Linked DNA regions of Saccharomyces cerevisiae S288C. Changing the gene in region 3 together with the main gene of any one other region gives a genetic interaction. Each region holds a gene or a part of one and is shown on either strand. Other genes may lie near its edges.

Evidence for each region. Genes that interact genetically often act in the same process or in processes that back each other up.
Region 1: mutations in NIT1 (region 3) and ECM23 together harm fitness more than expected from each alone (negative genetic interaction), as found in Saccharomyces cerevisiae (one large-scale study listed by BioGRID).
Region 2: mutations in NIT1 (region 3) and GRX4 together harm fitness more than expected from each alone (negative genetic interaction), as found in Saccharomyces cerevisiae (one large-scale study listed by BioGRID).

The regions. Positions count from the first base shown.
Region 1 is NC_001148.4:509,105-514,978, forward strand, and holds ECM23 (Ecm23p), read left to right. Parts: upstream 1-1,996; coding exon 1,997-2,560; downstream 2,561-5,874. Other genes in the region: ssDNA endodeoxyribonuclease RAD1, read left to right, coding at 1-895; SUMO protease ULP1, read right to left, coding at 3,209-5,074; VTC3 (vacuolar transporter chaperone), read right to left, coding at 5,407-5,874. UniProt on the Saccharomyces cerevisiae protein: Involved in morphogenesis. May be involved in cell wall organization and biogenesis.
Region 2 is NC_001137.3:535,120-540,676, reverse strand, and holds GRX4 (monothiol glutaredoxin GRX4), read left to right. Parts: upstream 1-1,508; coding exon 1,509-2,243; downstream 2,244-5,557. Other genes in the region: YER175W-A (uncharacterized protein), read right to left, coding at 1-27; TMT1 (trans-aconitate 3-methyltransferase), read left to right, coding at 314-1,213; RAD24 (Rad24p), read right to left, coding at 2,398-4,377; ATP-dependent RNA helicase BRR2, read left to right, coding at 4,656-5,557. UniProt on the Saccharomyces cerevisiae protein: Monothiol glutaredoxin involved in the biogenesis of iron-sulfur clusters. Binds one iron-sulfur cluster per dimer. The iron-sulfur cluster is bound between subunits, and is complexed by a bound glutathione and a cysteine residue from each subunit.
Region 3 is NC_001141.2:31,464-39,936, reverse strand, and holds NIT1 (Nit1p), read left to right. Parts: upstream 1-5,250; coding exon 5,251-5,850; downstream 5,851-8,473. Other genes in the region: SMU2 (Smu2p), read right to left, coding at 1-504; beta-fructofuranosidase SUC2, read right to left, coding at 954-2,552; YIL163C (uncharacterized protein), read left to right, coding at 2,685-3,038; YIL165C (uncharacterized protein), read left to right, coding at 5,860-6,219; SOA1 (Soa1p), read left to right, coding at 7,371-8,473.

The sequences.
Region 1 (5,874 bases), on a different chromosome or scaffold from region 3:
TAATACCAGAAATGCGGGTGGGCAGCAGGGATTCCATAATCTTACTCAGGATGTCGTCATTGTGGATACACGTGAGTTTAATGCCTCATTACCAGGCTTACTCTACCGATATGGCATAAGGGTTATTCCTTGTATGTTGACAGTCGGCGATTATGTGATAACTCCTGATATTTGTCTCGAAAGAAAATCGATTTCTGACTTAATTGGGTCATTACAGAATAACAGATTAGCCAACCAATGTAAAAAAATGTTAAAATACTATGCATATCCGACACTATTGATTGAGTTTGATGAAGGACAGTCGTTTTCTTTAGAACCTTTTAGTGAACGTAGAAATTATAAGAATAAAGACATATCAACTGTTCATCCTATATCAAGCAAGTTATCCCAGGATGAAATTCAGCTAAAACTAGCCAAATTAGTATTGCGGTTTCCCACTTTAAAGATTATATGGTCTTCCTCACCCCTGCAAACTGTAAATATAATCCTAGAGTTGAAATTAGGACGTGAGCAACCTGACCCTAGTAATGCAGTTATATTGGGAACGAATAAAGTTAGATCGGATTTTAATAGCACTGCAAAGGGCCTGAAGGATGGTGATAACGAGTCTAAATTCAAGAGACTGTTGAATGTTCCTGGAGTGTCAAAAATTGATTATTTCAATCTCCGCAAAAAGATCAAGAGCTTCAATAAGCTTCAAAAGCTTTCATGGAATGAGATTAATGAACTTATTAATGACGAAGATTTGACGGATAGAATATACTACTTCTTGAGAACAGAAAAAGAAGAACAAGAACAAGAGTCAACAGATGAAAATCTTGAATCTCCTGGTAAGACCACTGATGATAACGCTTTACATGATCATCATAATGATGTTCCTGAAGCACCTGTGTAAAATATTGTTTAATTTAACGAACCCTGTTAAAACATCAGTATAAAATGCGATTAACTATAGTGAAAATAACAATATTCATTTGGTGACTTCGACCGTATATGTTATAAGTTAGACATGCTCTTTGAATCTTTTACTTTGATATTTTATTCCGCATATATATTCTTTTTTTCGCGTTCATAGTTTATTCACTCAAATTTTTCATATCATCCGCAATTCATCTTCCACTTTTTAGCAGTAAAAATGACCAAATGAAGTTCATTTATTTTTGATTTTTTAACCGTATTTGGTGGAATCTGAGCGTGGCATTAGTGAATCATTTTAAGCCAAATTACCCGTGAGTTTTTCTTAGAAGCGCACAATCATATTCATTATTAATAAATGCTTCAAATTCATCCTCTTGAATAAGGTCCAGAAATAATTTTGTCTCTTTTCCATTACCTATGTGGGTAAAAATTTTCTTTTGCGACTAAGATTCAAGAGACCAAGTTTCTTTTCCACAACGATATATAATAAACCAAATGGTACAAAGTAGGAAACAACAAATAAGGAAAGCTTTTTCTTAAGTAGATTTGTATATTTATCCAAGAATGAACGATGTGTCTCGTAAACAGTAATTCCTTTTAAATTTTATATTTCTTCTATTTTCTGAACTTTTTTACTTAAGAAAAAATTTGGAAATCATTACCTGTAGGATGGCTTAGCTCTGATAATCAACCTACCAAAGTAGTTTGCAGTTATGTGCACTTTTCCCTTCATGTTAACATTATTCGGGCCGGTCTATTGTTAAATAATTAAGGGTCCATTTTAGGCACGGCGGATTCACAGAAAACCACGCAGTGCTCAACGTCATATACCACAAAATCCGTTTTCGTATTAAAAGTGAATGTGTCAGTAAAAGGCATTCTTTTTAGCGTTCATTATTTCCTTTAATATGATGTACCAATCTGTCCACTGCCTATGTAAACTTAAAAGGGAGGCATTTATGACTTGAGATTTGGTTAAATTACCAATATCTCAAGGGTAACAATATTTGCTATACTGGTCATCTAGAATAAAAATACTGCGTTGTAGTGCTGAGTGATAGAACTTTTAAATCATATTATGTTATATAACAAAGAGCAGGGAACAAGCGGCGCTAGTAGCTCTGGTCGTAGAACGAAATTCCACTTCGATCGTTTTGTACAAATGGTTCTGTTCATTGCCGCTAATCCCAATTATTGCTGTTCAGTAGCCAGTATCCCGAAATCTGGTGTCACGCCAGATTTAAAAAGAGCAGATATTCTTGAACAGAAGATCAAAAGCTTAAATAGTGCGCTGAGTCCAAAATTGAAGGAAGAAAGTCGTCTTGGTGGGCCTTTGCATAACCCCTCTATTCTACCAGCCCCATCTTTTTCATCACTACCAATATCATCCAATGGAAAGAAATCTTTAGCAGGATATAGACCTAAAAGTAGGAAGAAACAAACTATACTCCCCAACGGTCAACCAAAAGAGTGCGCCACTTGTGGTGACACCTGGACTTCTCAGTGGAGAAGTGGACCTAATGGAAATGTTGAGCTATGTAGTCGATGTGGCATAGCATATAGGAAAAAAATGGAGAAAAAAATACGATCGCAACAATCCTCCGATGATGGTACTAAAAATTTTATATTTAAAAATAAATAGTTAAGTAGTTTGTAAAGATGGTATATTCAGCGGATTCTTCCTCTATTTTTATGTTTTTTGAGATATTTCGAGCTTTCTATTTTTTTAAAATGCCTGAATTTCCATCTTCAAAAAAAACATAAAAAAGGTACTTTACCACCAAATAAATGATAACCACAATTTACTTTACTTATCCTCCACTATCAAGTATCTTCCTACCAGGAAAAATGAATTTCAAATGATTCGAAATTTACGGAGGCTCAATATAGAGATAGTGTGACGATGTTCATAAGGGCTTTACCGCTTAGCACGTATCTACAGTTTTCACTCAATAATATATTCTCTAGGAATGATTGCCAATAGATTGATATCCAAGAGAAGGTTCAATTAAGGAATTTCATTTCGTTCTAATCTTTTGTTGAAAATAAAAATTTTTACTTATATGTTAAAGCTTAAGATTCCACATAAGGTCGAAGACAATCGTCACTAATGTGTGGTTCTGCCTGCTCATCTCTAAAATATATTACTTTTTGTACAGACATCTAAATTGAGCTGGTGCTTATGCTATTCTTATGATTTATTTTCAAGTGGTTTATTGAACTTTATTCCATATCCAATGATCTGAATATTTCTACTTATGTATAATAATTGTATATTATAAAAGAATAACTATTTTAAAGCGTCGGTTAAAATCAAATGGGCAATAAATCTTCTCATCCTAATCGCATCTTTATAATCAAAATCCAATGGCGCATCTGCACTTCCATAGAGAGTATTCATACAAACATATATTCCACAGTCGTAGCCATTTGGTTGCTGCGGACAATCTAAATGAATCAAATCAAAGTCTTCTCCTATTGTATGCTTACTTTCCTCCATAACATATTTTTGCAAGTCAGTCAGTATAGCGAAACTCATAGCATTTGGACCATTCGATAATGAATCTACGTAACCTATAGTTTTCTTTTTTAAATCAATTATGCCCAACGCCCAGTGGGATTGGTTCAAATTTATTGGTGTAAAGATTTTATCAAGTTTATCAATTTGTGTCTTCTTTCTCTTCATCCACCTCCGGACGCCTTGATAACCCCTTTCTGATAAATTGGTATAGAAAAATGAATTAAACGCCACTGTATTAGGGGTAGATTTTTCAATGTATTTCATAAAAAACTCAATGATAGTGTCATTTAGCCATCTTCGTGGTGCCAAGGTCTTAAAATCACGTACTGTTATCTCTATATTATCTCTATTCATTAACTGAGTATTTTCTCTAGATGCCAAAGCTTTTTGTACTTGGTCATCGTCTTTTTCATTTAATTCAGGAACAAGTTTCTTCTTGGCCAATTGTTCTTTCTTTTTTTTAAGATCTTCTTGAATCTTCTTTCTTTCATTTAAAATTTCGTTATATCTTTTGAAGTCTTTCTCAAACTCTAATATAGATCTATCAAACTTCAACTTTTGATTTAAGTAATCCTTATGTTTCCTTTCCAAAGAAGATATCTTTTTTTCTTTAACAAATACTAAATCATCATCATTTTCATTTCTTGTCTGTAGTCTGTTCTTGTTGTTCTCAATTAAAATTGTTTTGATCTTTTCAGTTAAGTCGATTATAGACTTTTTTAAGCCAGTGTCTTTTTCCTTATCCATATCCATTAATTTTAACTGTCTTTCTCTTTCTTCTTTTAATATTTTTGGAACTTTATATTCTCCGTTGAATATTTGTCGTAAATATGTTACTTCCTCAGATTGTGCTCTCGACACCAGTTTAGTATTGTTAATGTTCTGTTTTGCAACTTTTTTCTTTCTAATAAAGGCTGTCCCATACTGTCGCCTGTCGTAGCTATTTTTCTGATCAGAAGTGTTATTTTCTGAGTTAGAACCAATAGCACTTGTTTTCCACTTATTCCAACCAAAAGGATCTCTCGAAAAAGTTATGCTATTGTCACTATCACAATTGCTTTTTTGAGAAGCCAAAGAGCTGATTGGTGAGGTTGAAGGTGTCCCCACACCTTCACTTTCGATTCTTCTCCTTTTATTTGGTAAGGCCCACGTCGACGTATCGAATTTGTGTTTTCTTGTATCCGAGGAATAATTTTCACGTAGACCATATGGTACGTCACTGCTCCTACTTCCAGAACTTCTGCTCTCAACGTCGCTGTTACCACTTGCTTCTACTTCAGAACCATCAAAATTGCGAGGTTCGTTTTTCACAAATGTGTGCCATAAGTACTTACCTGAGTTCCAAAGAGTTTCTCTTATGCCTCCTATAAAACCAGCTTTACTAGCTCTATCTGACCCATCTTTCATTGATTCTTCCATTGATAAAACACGGCGGTCGTTTAAATAATTGAATCTTGACGTATTGGTTCTTTTTTTATAAATACCACTAAAACTGGCTGATCTTCTAGACTCGGAGGGATTGTTCAATACCCGAGGATAACACCTATATGTAGAAATTGGGGAGAATAAAGGGGAGTAAGGGTTCTTTTTATGATACTGTAGTGTGTTCCGGTGCTTATCTACTTCAACTGACATTATTATGATATCCAAAGGTCAGAGGAAGAAGAGGAAAAAAACTGAAACAGAAGTAGATATTGATGAATAATTTTAATTAGCAATATAGATTTGCGGAGCTGAAACGAACGTTTCAGCTATTTTTTGATCTGGGTTTAACTATCACACACATCTTCTCATTATGTGCATTTTGAATTTTGAAAATAAAAAGAGGCGGCGCCGGCACCTGCTGAAAGCTGTTTAATATGATTTAATACGGAAGAGCAAATATGTATAAATAGAGAACAATTAATTAATTATGATAGTAACTGGTACTTGTGTAATATATGTGTATATAAAAAATATACATGTTCTTATTCCCCAACCAAATTGAAGATAAAATCTTGAATTGGTTTTAGTGTACGGGGTAACGAAGGCTGGGAGGAAACGTTTACTAATCCTCTTTCCCTCCTAGCGGCCTCTTTAAAAGCCACACTAAAGTTAACAACCAAGGTAACGATTAATACAACTGCAACCAAAATAGGTCCCACAGGTGCATCCAAATGCTTACCACTTCTACCTTTAATAAGAGTTAATCTTTTTAAGTAGGTTCTATAAGCCCATACTCCGCAAAACAAAGTCAAAAAGAAATATACATAGGCCAACAGATCAGCTAGTTGTGGAAATTCGGCTTTTTGCACTGAATTATAGATAGAAAAGGTCAATACACTCAGCAATGTGGTTACACTTAACCATCTATTGAATGTACGTTCATTGGCGAGCCAAACTTTTGCCTCAACTTTGACAGGACCGGCATTTTTCAAAAGGTGAACTGGTTTTTT
Region 2 (5,557 bases), on a different chromosome or scaffold from region 3:
ACAGATAAATGTTTTATGTAGTCTCATGCATTGTTAAATGACCAATAAAAAGGGTGTTCCATCAACCTATCTAATCAGAAAAATTAGGTGCAATTCTGCCGTTGTTTACTATAAATGAATCACACCTTATGTGTTGATGTTCATGACTCACAGTAATATCCTTTTTTTTTCTGGTTTTCCGAAAGTTTATCTTCCTTATTTTCATTTTTAAAGGAAAAGGAATGTAACTAATTTAGTATGTTTTCGTTGTAGCAGTCTTTATTAGTTGTTATGAGAATTATCTCCTAACAAGATAACAAAATAAGTGATAATAATGTCTACCTTTTCTGCTTCTGATTTCAACTCAGAAAGATATTCATCTTCAAGACCTTCTTATCCCTCCGATTTTTACAAGATGATTGATGAATACCACGACGGAGAAAGGAAATTACTCGTAGATGTTGGCTGTGGACCAGGTACTGCCACTTTACAAATGGCTCAGGAGTTAAAACCATTCGAACAAATTATCGGAAGCGATCTCTCCGCTACCATGATTAAGACTGCAGAAGTAATAAAGGAAGGAAGTCCTGATACATACAAAAACGTTTCATTTAAGATTTCTTCAAGTGATGATTTTAAATTCCTAGGCGCGGATTCAGTAGACAAACAGAAAATTGATATGATTACCGCAGTAGAATGTGCTCATTGGTTCGATTTCGAAAAATTTCAGCGATCTGCTTATGCCAATTTGAGAAAAGATGGTACTATCGCTATTTGGGGTTATGCGGACCCAATTTTCCCGGACTACCCTGAATTTGATGATCTGATGATTGAAGTTCCTTACGGGAAGCAAGGACTGGGACCCTATTGGGAACAACCGGGGAGATCTCGCCTTCGTAATATGCTGAAAGACTCTCACTTAGACCCAGAACTTTTCCATGATATACAAGTTTCATATTTTTGTGCAGAAGATGTGAGAGACAAAGTAAAACTCCACCAGCATACAAAGAAGCCATTGCTAATCAGAAAGCAGGTCACCCTAGTGGAGTTTGCAGATTATGTCAGAACCTGGAGCGCTTACCATCAGTGGAAGCAGGATCCAAAGAACAAAGATAAAGAAGATGTAGCAGATTGGTTTATTAAAGAGTCACTAAGGAGGAGGCCGGAACTTTCCACCAACACCAAAATTGAAGTTGTTTGGAATACTTTTTACAAACTTGGCAAAAGGGTCTGAAAATTTCAGCCAATAAGCATTATATTCGTGAAATTTTAGTAAGAGCGCGCGTTTTAATTGGTGAAGCCTCGCGACGTATTCACAGATGTCCTAGAAAAAGTTACCATATCTGAAGACTGGTTGATATTTAGCTTAAATAGCATATTAATACTGTACCAGTTGAACCATTTTTTAATCTGTTACTGCCAGGAACGTTGATTCGTTTTCCCGGTAACATTGTTGTCTTTGGGTACTGAGCATATTTCATTTTTCCACTTACATATAACTAAATTTCTGTGCTCTTCCTCCAATAAATATGACTGTGGTTGAAATAAAAAGCCAGGACCAATTTACGCAACTAACCACTACAAACGCTGCTAATAAACTCATTGTCTTATATTTTAAAGCTCAATGGGCTGATCCTTGCAAAACTATGAGCCAGGTGCTAGAAGCTGTTAGTGAAAAAGTTAGGCAAGAGGATGTCCGGTTTTTATCAATAGATGCAGACGAACATCCAGAAATATCAGACCTTTTTGAGATTGCAGCCGTACCATACTTCGTCTTCATTCAAAATGGTACTATTGTAAAAGAAATATCAGCCGCAGATCCTAAGGAGTTTGTGAAAAGCTTAGAAATTCTTTCGAATGCTTCTGCCTCACTAGCGAACAATGCCAAGGGTCCTAAATCTACGTCTGATGAGGAAAGCAGCGGGTCTTCCGATGATGAAGAGGACGAAACTGAAGAAGAAATAAATGCTAGGCTGGTGAAGCTAGTACAAGCTGCACCTGTGATGCTATTCATGAAAGGAAGCCCATCAGAACCTAAATGCGGATTTTCTAGACAGTTAGTTGGTATCCTCAGAGAACACCAAATAAGGTTCGGATTTTTTGATATATTAAGAGACGAAAACGTTAGACAAAGCTTGAAGAAGTTTTCTGATTGGCCTACTTTTCCTCAGTTATATATCAATGGGGAGTTCCAGGGAGGTTTGGATATTATCAAGGAATCTATAGAAGAAGATCCTGAATATTTCCAACATGCTCTACAGTAAGCCTTATTTTGTAATGAAAACTATATTCATACATATATACATATTAATATATATGTATATATTTTTATTTATTAATTTATTCTAGAATGTAATGTGCATAGATTTGTGTGGAATATTTCCTGGGGTTTTCTCGTCAAATTTAAAGAGTAAAAAGTTAGAGTATTTCCAGATCTGAATCTGAAAGGGACTCACTGATAACTGGCGCTTTACGCGGCTGTCTCTGGGACAGAATTTCACATAGAGACTCGTCTTCGTCGCTTCTACCAAATGTTTCATTGCCAATATTATTGCTGTTATCGCTATCGCTATCGACAATAGGGTCATCATTAAAAGAAGTTTCTTCGTCTTCAAGATCGTCGTTAGCCATCATCACATTTCTTTCATATTGGTCAATCAACATGCGAAGCCTTCTGTCCCTTTCCTTTTTTTGATCCTCTAAATGGTCACAATTATTGCTATCATTATCCATCAATGGTGCTAGTCCATCCTCCACAGATAGTGCTTCGATAGGCCCGCCTATCCGATCCACAACGTCGATTCCGTTCTCAACTTTCATTATATCACTAAATTTGTCCATGGTTTGTTTGGGCCCCGAGGAGCCACTCGGAAGATTCTTCAAATAATAGAGAATGTATTTTTTTTTATAACTCTGACACTTTCTAATTAGAGGTGCGTAGTAGCCAAATTCTAGAGTTATATTCCTGAAAGAATGTACCGCGTTGTACTTATAAAGACTAACATTTAACCAATCTTCAGCTTGAACTTTAAATGAATTTTGTAATTTTCTTACTTTCCATTCTCTTGGAAAATAAACCGTTCCATGATTATGGCCTTGTTTACTGATGTTACGAAAGGTTTTGCGCACTTCTCGTAAACCATACTCATTGGATTCTGGTAGACCATTCATATTATCACACTCGCTCAGGCAATCCACAATTGATGATGCATCAGAAATGCTGAATTCGCCTTTATTAAATGTGTTATAGTTCTCTAATATTCCTAATTTGAAATCCTCTTTCGATAACAAATTGTTCGAATTTTCGAAGAGGTTATTAATCATTTCGTTATCGTTATTCGTGCTATGGGAACCATGTATCACCTTCCCAATGGCATGAAAGTATGATATGGTGGATTCTCGGGTTGAAATCGGCAAACTTCCACTTGATGTCGCCCAAAATTGAAGGGTCGTAATGGCCGACCTAATATCACCAGTCTCTTGCGCAATATAATCTATGACTTCCTGTCTTTTATTCCATTTATTTTTCTCCTTCAACATTTTCATATTCTGTACACAAATAAATTTCAAGTGCTTTTTTAATAAAGTGCTGTTAATTGGATTAAACTTAATTCTTTTCAACCTTGGATGCATCAATATTTCTTTGTTCATTATGGTTTCTGCACTAAATGTATAATCAATACCAAATTTGCGATAATTATTATCGTTCTCTGGAATTTCACATTCAGTTATACATATAACAAGGGGAGGTAATAGAGGCTCCGAACTATATAGCCACTGTAATATAAGTTGTTGAAATCGACGTCTGGTATCTATATGGAAGACGTTGGGAAGGTCCTCGATAAGTATTAATGACAGGTTGGACATCACAAGATACCGTGCGCCTTTTAAGAACTCACTAAAGCTTTCCATCTGAGGAAGATCGTTGACTATACAATCACCTCTAAACTCGGTCACTTTATGCTCGTTCGGGGTGCTTCGAAAGGACGTTCCGTTGCTGTTTTGTCTGTATTTAGGAACTAAGATTTTTGAGAGTTCTTTTATGACCGTACTTTTAGAGCATCCACTGGGGCCAGACAGTAGTAGGATCCTATGCTTGGCGTTAGGTAAAAACATGGCATCTAAAGCTTCTTGTACATCTTTAAGTTTTCTTTTATGTATGGCCACTTGCTCCAAACAATTGGGCTTGAACTTTTCGTACCACTGTTCACCGCCGTCGTCGTTGATACTTGGGAGGATACTAGACGTATCTTGCTTGGAAAGAAAGTCATTTTCAGTGCTTCTCGCCTTACGAACTGGCGAAGTCGGTCTAGATGAGCTCCATTTTGTTATTTGCGAGCCCAATGAACTGAGACTATATTGTAATAAGGGCCGTTTGTTCAAATTCGTACTATCCATATCATTCAGACAGGAACAAACTTGATAATTAGTGGTGTTGAATCAAGTACTATTAACGCATTGTGATGATCTCTCAGATATCAATGCGTGTTTGCTTCTTTGACGATCTAATATTGAATATTGTCGCTCTTTACGAGAATATTAAAAATTTATGCTACTAAAGCTATGTCTACTATAAAGGAATAATACACTAATAGAGATAATCTTGAGTAAAATAAGGTGAAGGTAAATATAAGTAATTGCTTTGGAAGATTTACCGTGAGCCTTCGTTATTAAAAATGACTGAGCATGAAACGAAGGATAAGGCCAAAAAAATTAGAGAAATTTATCGTTATGATGAGATGTCCAATAAGGTGTTGAAAGTTGATAAACGCTTTATGAATACCAGCCAAAATCCTCAAAGGGATGCGGAAATATCACAACCAAAATCCATGAGTGGTAGAATTAGTGCTAAGGATATGGGACAGGGCCTGTGCAATAACATTAATAAAGGACTAAAAGAAAATGATGTAGCCGTTGAAAAAACTGGAAAGAGCGCATCATTGAAAAAAATTCAGCAGCATAACACCATTTTGAATTCTTCCTCCGATTTCAGGTTACATTATTATCCAAAGGATCCCTCAAATGTCGAAACTTACGAGCAGATTTTGCAGTGGGTTACAGAAGTTTTAGGCAATGATATACCCCATGATCTTATTATTGGAACTGCTGATATATTCATCAGACAATTGAAAGAAAATGAGGAAAATGAGGATGGTAATATTGAAGAGCGAAAGGAAAAGATCCAGCATGAGCTAGGCATCAATATAGACTCCCTGAAGTTTAACGAATTAGTTAAACTTATGAAAAACATTACCGATTATGAAACACATCCTGACAATAGCAATAAACAAGCAGTAGCAATTCTTGCCGATGATGAAAAATCAGATGAAGAAGAAGTAACAGAAATGTCCAACAATGCTAATGTTCTTGGGGGAGAAATCAATGATAATGAAGATGATGATGAGGAATATGATTACAATGACGTTGAAGTCAATTCTAAAAAAAAAAACAAGAGGGCATTGCCAAACATTGAAAACGATATAATTAAACTCTCCGATAGTAAAACAAGTAATATCGAGAGCGTTCCGATATACTCAATCGATGAATTTTTTTTGCAGAGAAAACTTCGGTCAGAGCT
Region 3 (8,473 bases):
TTTTATTGGGGCCTTTGGATAATCCAAAGGTATGTTGAATAAAATTTTCAAAGAAATCTTACCGGAGTCTGTCATGGGGGAGATTCGATAGCCATATGAGGTAACGTGCTTACCCTTTTTAAACAGTTTAAAATCGGATAAGGTGTGAATGCATTGTTCGATTTCTTCTTGCCTTTTTGCGATTTGTTTTCGCTCTTCTACATTAATTTCCTTTGAGTAGTGTAGGGTATTCTTTTTATTAGCTCCATTATTGTTTTTCCGCCTTCTGTTTTTCGCTTGAGATTTCTCGACTCTCACTTCTTCCCCTCCAGTCACAGGTTTAGGTTCATTTTGTTCCTTTGTCTCTGTCTTCTTATTTCTGTTTCGATTTTTATTCCGCTTTTTATTTCCATTTTTAGCTTTATTTGTGCTCTCCTCATTCCCGATTGGAGTTCCTTCGTTTCCCAAACCAGAAGCTTTTCCCTGAGATTTTTTAGCTCCTGTTACAGATAGCTTGGTATCCATTTCCCTCACTACTTCTTTTTGAGAACACTTTTACGTAGAAGACAACGCTTTTTTTTTTTACAATATGGTATACTTCTACTTAATGCTTTTAAATTTTCACATAACTAATACTTTACCCGGTTTCATTGTGTCAGTAACAAAACAGATAAAGGCAAAAAGGTCCATCCTAGTAGTGTAAGGCAACTACATTACGATTGTGGGTTTATTACGTGAAAAAATGATGTCTATTGCAAAGTAGTAAAAATTTTTAAGAGAATTATACTTATATAAAGTACATAAAGAACAAATTCCAGGTAACTGGGGTCGGGAGAAAATAAAAATAAAAATACATTTTCAATGGTTTGGAGGTATTCTTTGAAATCATAAAGTTTTACATTCGTCACTCGTTAGCTAAAGCCCTTTAGAATGGCTTTTGAAAAAAATAAAAAAGACAATAAGTTTTATAACCTCTATTTTACTTCCCTTACTTGGAACTTGTCAATGTAGAACAAATTATCGACACCAGTGGTCATGTTCACAGATCCTAGAGCGTTACCGGTGGTCATGAAGTAGGTATTTGTAGAAACCACATCTCCATCGTTGAAGTACAATTCCAAGATGTTTTGATCCAGTAGGCCGTACACTTTATAGTAACTTAGGTCGTTCTCAGACTTGAATGGTTGGTTGTTGACAGACATTCTGTTTGTGAAATATGGGTTCTCCTTGACAAACTTGACCTTAGAGTTACCACGGTCCAAAAAGAAGGAAGAAGCACTGACTTCAAAACCCATTCTCAAATATTCTTCAGGATCTTCTAAACCCTTGAACCAAAGTGATAAGTCGGCAAAGACGGATTTGGATATGGTTTGTGTGGTGTTAACAGCGTAAACCAACTCAAACTCTAGGGTACCAGTCGAGTTGCTCAAATCGACATTGTAAGAATTGGCCTTAGTTAGAGTTGTGTTAGTAGCAAAACGAGACCAGGGACCAGCATTACTAATGTTCAATATTGGTTCGGCTTTCAAATTGATCAATTCAGTCTCTGGATTAGCTTGATATTCAGTGTTCAAAGAAAACTTGCGGACCAAAGACATGGATGATCTCCATGGGTTAGTTGGGACAAAGGCACTGTACTCCCAGTTTGAAGCCCAGGCAATACCTAATGCTGAACCGTAGGTTGGGTCAGTGTTGAAGAAAGTTTGCAAGGCATAGTAGTCCTTACCAAAATCTACCACTCTAGATTGATTGTCAAACGCTTCAAAATGAGTACCATTGAAGGATCCAACAAAATATTGGTTGAAGGAACCGCCAGCAGGTGCACCTGGGTTGATAGAAATAAACATGACCCAATAAGATTTGGAAGGATCTTGCTCAGTTGGGACTTCAATCAAACCTGGACATTCGTATTGGTAGCCTAAGAAACCTTCATTGGCAAATGCAGATTCTAGCTTCCAGGACTTCAAGTCATCAGAGGAGTAAATTTCAATTTTGTAGTCTTGTGATTTGGCAGCCGTCATAATCCATTTTTGAGAAGGTTCATACCAGAACACCTTTGGATCTCTGAATTGAGTGGAGTTGGCAGCTAAAACAGGGTTCTTTTGGTATTCAGTAAAAGTGTAACCACCATCAAGAGAATAGCTAATGTATTGCTCTTCACTTTCAGGAGTGTTATAAGTCCAAATCGCAACGCATCTTTGTCTTGGATCAATAGTATCATTGAAAAACCCACTCGTGTTGTTGTAATCAACCACCATGGAGCCAGAGAAAGCACCTGAATCGTTACGCTTGGGAGCGATAGCAATGGGTTGATCTTCCCAATTAGTCAAATCATCGGAAGTAGCATGGCCCCAAAACAATGGCGTACCCCATACGGTGTCATTTGGGTTGTATTGAAAGTACAGATGCCATTTGGCATCTTTTTCATCGTACCACAACCCATTTGGGTCATTCATCCAGCCCTTGTTGGGTGTGAAGTGGACCAAAGGTCTATCGCTAGTTTCGTTTGTCATTGATGCAGATATTTTGGCTGCAAAACCAGCCAAAAGGAAAAGGAAAGCTTGCAAAAGCATCATATACGTTAGTGAAAAGAAAAGCTTTTTGTTTTGCTTGTTTCTCTGAGAGAAAAAAAAAAGTAAGATATATGGTAAAAAAAAAGCACAAGAACAAGAGAATGTTTTGAAGAATAATACATATCTATTTATATGTTTCTTTTCAGGAGGAAGGATTATAGGATCGAAATCCAAAAAAAAAAAGTCGTCAAATCTTTCTTCCAAATGGTTTACTATAGAGCCCTTAGGCAACATTTTTGTCAAACAAAGTCGTTTAAGCATTCCTCGAAAAGAAACGTCTCTATGATGGTAATAGGCAAACATCGGGCGTACCTTAAAAGTCTTAGACATCACATAAAGGGATTTATAATCACATTCCTCGTCAGTTTTTCCAGAAACCTCCATGGAAAAACCCTGGACGTGGGGTCGATTAACGCTACGCGTATTTCTTCGCCCCCGGATAATTTCCTAAACTGGGTTTTTTCTTTTTATTCCTGTTCAGAGTAATAAAAATGCGGGGAATAATGGAAGCCCTCATAATGGATCGAGTTCAACAAAGGCACGCCTTTGGTAGAAGAATACTGTGGGCCTTTCTAACGTAGCATACCGACTGGTAATTTGCTCACAAACTATTCTAAATGACGTACTTTTTTGAGCTTTGCTGGGGGAGCGAGAACTACGCTAGGACAACAACTCCCATACGGTAAATGTCTTAGTATGTCGTGCTTGTACAAACGAAACATGATAAAATGGATACCTTCGACAGCTCACCGTGCCCCTGTCCTTTGTTCATTGGGAAACCTCCTGCCGTAATTCTACATACTATACTCGATACCCGAGATTGTGACGTGTGGATGCTAAGCCCCTATAACCTCAAACTTTTTAGCTTGGAAAGGCACTTAACTCAATTATAGGTTGTTGCGAATTCTGAATTTTTACAGCTACTTCTGTAGGGAATTCAGACCTCCGTACGGTATCTCCCTGTTTACTACAGGGGAAAACTTAGTTTTTTTTTTACTATAGTATATGCAAGGCCCTGAAGCTCCATGATATTTCGTAGATTATTCGGCTTCCTATTCAAGGCAATGTCTAGCCGTTTAATGTGCGACGGCATTAGCAAAGCTTCTTCAGTTAATAACTTTTCTACGTTCTTTAGCGCATTAATAGACTGATCGTCTATTACCATCGTGGAAATGAGGTATAGCACCTAAGAATACAGCGAAGGAGGTCTAACTGCTTCCCAGAAGTCACAGGAAAATAAACTTTTTTTTTTTATTTTCCGCTTTTTTCATAAACTTCTTTCACACTTTCCGCTTTTCCATACTTGGTAAATGCACATAATGCTATTGTAATATACAACCATGATTTCACTTCCCCTGGCGCAACAGTATGTTGTTAGCTATGATACAAAAATTTTTTAAGGCCATTTGAAAGCATCAATTTCTCAGAACACACTTCATCTACTGCAAAAGAAGACTTTCGAAGAAAAGTACAAATTGCGACGAACTACTTTCATAGTAACAAAATGAACAGTGACATTGAAAAGCAGAGAATGTTGAACATAGGCTAATTTTACGTTCTCACAGCCTGGCTAGCACCTAGAAACGACGCATGCTGCCATGTTAGTAGTCAAACAAAATTGAAGTGAGGCTCAAAATAGTTTGAATGAACACAACAAAACATTGGATAAGCTGTCATGCTACATTAGCAATACAAAAACCCGCACCCCGTAGTCACGTTCGCCTTCGCAGCTTTTTAAAAATGGCAAAGAGTCTGACTTATGCTCTGTTGACATTTAAGAGATACAATGAATCGATCCAACAATTATTAGCCATCAGTACTTCTCTTTTGTGAGGTAGGGCGACAAGAAAACGCACAAACTAGAGAAGATATTTATGCATTTTTCGGTATATCAGATAAAAGTTGGTAGTGCTCGAGCTTTTCTTTCTATACCAATAAATGCTGCAAAATATTATAATCTAATTAGTACTGAAGTAACTCTAGCAAAGCACAGGTGACAAAATTTGTGCTGGTGATTGTTGGTACTGCTATCGCCAGAATAGTCGAGATGTTTGCATGTATCGACTGCTATGCGCGTAAGAAATTGGAATTTTGTATGGATAACTATGGCCGACCACTGCACCTAGCAACAGTGAAGAACTCGTTTATCGAGAGACGAGTGTCGAGATAACAGATATGACAATTAGATTATGTAGCCGAAACCATATATTAGAGCCAGTAGTTGTTTGATCATAGCTTGATTTTCATTAATTATCAGTCCTCTTCCGTGTAGTGCCTTTTTTCTTCTGCAAGCGAACTTTTTACAGATGGAAGTTCGATAACAGAGGAAAAAGGCGAAAGGTGGTTACTTGAAACATGGTGTATCTTAAAAACCGCTCGAAATTATAGAGGTGAAATTACAAGTTACTTGCGGTTCGATAAGCAAACGCATTTACGCTTATACTTTGGAGCCACATTTCACTATGAACGCCACATTATATTAATCCCACCGCGATTTGAAAACGGTTATCAGTAAAGTTGGCCTAATGCTTACGAAATATGAGCTATCTTTTTTGCTTCGTAAAAAAAATGGAGCCCAGGCCTCCGTGACTCATAAAGGGCAGTGTATATAAATAATAAAAGCTCTTCAATAAGAAAGGGTGATATTATGACTTAGGGTTAGCCAATCACTTTTCGAGGCTACCTCTAGTTAACCACAATGGCGAAACACATTGTTGCTGCCCTTCAAATCGGCTCTTGTCCGGGCTCTACTAAGGATACCTTGAAAAAAATTTTGTCATATGAGAAGGAGATCAAGGAATCTGGTGCCAAGTTGGTCGTTATCCCAGAAGCCACTCTTGGTGGTTATCCAAAGGGATCGAACTTTGGGGTTTATCTAGGCTACCGTCTTCAAGAAGGAAGGGAGGAGTATGCTAAGTATCTTGCCGAAGCAATTGAGATCGGAAACGGAGAGAAATATCCAGAAATTAGTCAGTTGTGCGCACTATCGAAGGCCACCGACGCATCCTTATGTGTGGGGTGTATAGAGCGCGATGGGACGACATTATATTGTACCATGGTTTATATAGATCCTAAAGATGGCTACGTTGGGAAGCATCGAAAACTGATGCCGACAGCTGGCGAAAGACTGATATGGGGTCAAGGCGATGGTTCGACTCTGCCTGTCGTGGATACCGCTGCTGGGAAGATTGGCGGTGCTATCTGCTGGGAGAACATGATGCCTCTACTGAGATACGCCATGTATAAAAAAGGGGTTGAGATCTGGTGTGCCCCAACGGTGGATGCTAGGCCTATTTAGAGGACTGTGATGAAAAATATTGCATACGAAGGTCGTCTATTCTTGATTAGTGCAGTGCAGTTCATGCCAGATGCGACAGCAATGGGCTTTGGGGAGATTATTGACCAAGCTACAGGTAAGAGAAAATTACCTGGATGGCCATCTGCTGACGACAACTGTATTAATGGAGGTAGTGTTATTATTGATCCTTATGGAGAGATTATTGCAGGGCCATTGCTAGGGCAGGAGGGCCTTTTAACCGCCGAAATTAACACTGACTTGATTGCTGAAGCTCGCTTTGATCTTGACCCTGTCGGACATTATGCTAGGGGAGATGTCTTCCAGTTGACTGTCAATGAAAGGTCACACGATGTCAAGTTTACGAAATGAATACCGCATAAATCCATTAACTAGGCTTTCATGAATGGTGGCTCGAAAATATTCGTTAATATCAATATGTCTGTTATATAATGTTTTATGTACAAGAGATAATGTAGATCTGTAATATTCAATCAAATAGGCATTTGTTTGAAATCCATACGTCTCTAAGATATAATCCAAGCCATGATTTTGAAATCAGGATCGCAAACCTGATCATTTAATTTTTACCTTTTTTTAAAATATAAATTAACATTTATTAATAAATAGGTGTATTTGAGAAGTTTCATTTTCGTTCAACAGCCCAGTTATCATCATTTCACAAACAAGAAGGAGATATTAGCATTTTCTCCCGGATCCGATTAACACAGTTTTTTTGTTTAATCCGGTGTGAAGAAGATTTATAAATGTCGTGATATTTTTTAATGTGGAGATTGTACGATGACGGGTAGGAGTCAAGACAAGCTAAAGAATGCAGCCTTAATAATTGCGCCTTTCACAATCAAAATTATGCATTGACCCGATACAAGAATCACCGTGTGGATCAAGCCATTCTTACCAAGCTTACTTTTGCCGTCGCCAAGGCTGTTTGTAGTCATTCTCTGAACTTTTTTCCTTGGCATTCGGCTCGACGCAGAGAATTTCGGATCGATATAATCCCGAAATAGTCCGTTTCTCGGATAATTGTGCCGAAATGCATCATATTACAACGTACTATCTTGAATTGCTAGCATTCTCGTAAGAAAGAAAAACCTCGAGCAAATAGGCTACATTTGCTGCTGCACCCCTTTACAGCACAAAGTCGTTGCAGCTAGCTCCTTAAAATAAGGACCCTGCAGTCATGTGGCATATATAATAGTTGGCGAAGCTTGAAGCCTCACTTAGAGGTTGACGCCTCACTTGAGGTTTCAACATATACTGATGGTTTCATTTCAACAGCCTATGGGTCAATTGGGAATAACTATCAATGCTACCAATTTGTCACACTTTATTGCCTAATAGGTTTGGCGCTTACTATCAAATACATGACGTATTCCCTGCGCTAGGTTCGTCTTCTACTGAATCATTTAGTATAAAAAGGCAGCGTTCAATTGTTGATTATTGAAATTATTTATTGTACAAACAATTAATAAAAAATTCAATCAACAAACAAAGTTTCATCTATGTCCGTACAAAAAGAAGAATACGATATTGTAGAAAAGGCCCAATTATCTGTGTCCGCAGAAAGCTTAACATCAGATTCGGAGAGTATTTCACATAACCCATTTGACGATTTTCATAAAGCAGAGCGTTGGAGAAAAGTCTATGAATCCAGTGGTTATGAAGGCTTGTCTAAATTCGATCCTGAGTTTACATGGACAAAGGATGAGGAAAAGAAATTGGTAAGAAAAATGGACTTGAAGATTTTTTTGTGGGTTTTTATTATGTTTGCCTTTTTGGATTTAATAAGGAAAAATATTGCAAGGGCAGTTTCAGACAACTTCATTGTTGACTTGAAAATGAACACGAACGACTACAACCTTGGCCAAACTGTTTATCTAGTTATATTTCTAGCAAGTGAACTACCCGGCAATCTGCTGTCCAAAAGATTTGGTCCAGAAAGGGTCATTCCGGTTCAAATTGTGTTGTGGAGTGTAATTTGTATTACTCAAGCTGGTCTGAAAAATCGAGGTCAATTTATTGCTACTAGATGCTTATTAGGAATGGTACAGGGCGGGTTCATCCCGGACAATATTCTATACTTGTCATATTATTATACTGGAGCTGAGCTCACATTCCGCCTAAGTTTCTTTTGGTGTGCTATACCTCTTTTCCAAATTTTAGGCTCTCTTTTAGCTTCCGGAATCATAGAGATGAGGGGTATTCATAACTTAGCTGGCTGGCAGTACCTATTTATAATTGAAGGGTTTCTGTCCCTTTCTGTTGGCGTGGCATCCTTTTATTTAATGCGTAGAGGACCTACGCAAACTGGTGAGTCTGCATTTCACAAAGGAAAATCGTTATTCACTGAGTATGAGGAGAAAATTATGGTTAACAGAATTTTAAGGGATGACCCATCAAAGGGTGACATGAGTAACCGACAACCAGTTACCTTCAAGGAGATTTTGTACACTCTAACAGAATTTGATCTATGGCCATTGTTTATCCAAGGTATTACAGCATTCATATCTCTTCAAACAGTTGGTTCCTATTTATCTTTGATATTAAAGAGTTTAAATTACTCTACATTTCTTTCGAACATTTTAGCAATTCCAGGCCAAGCCCT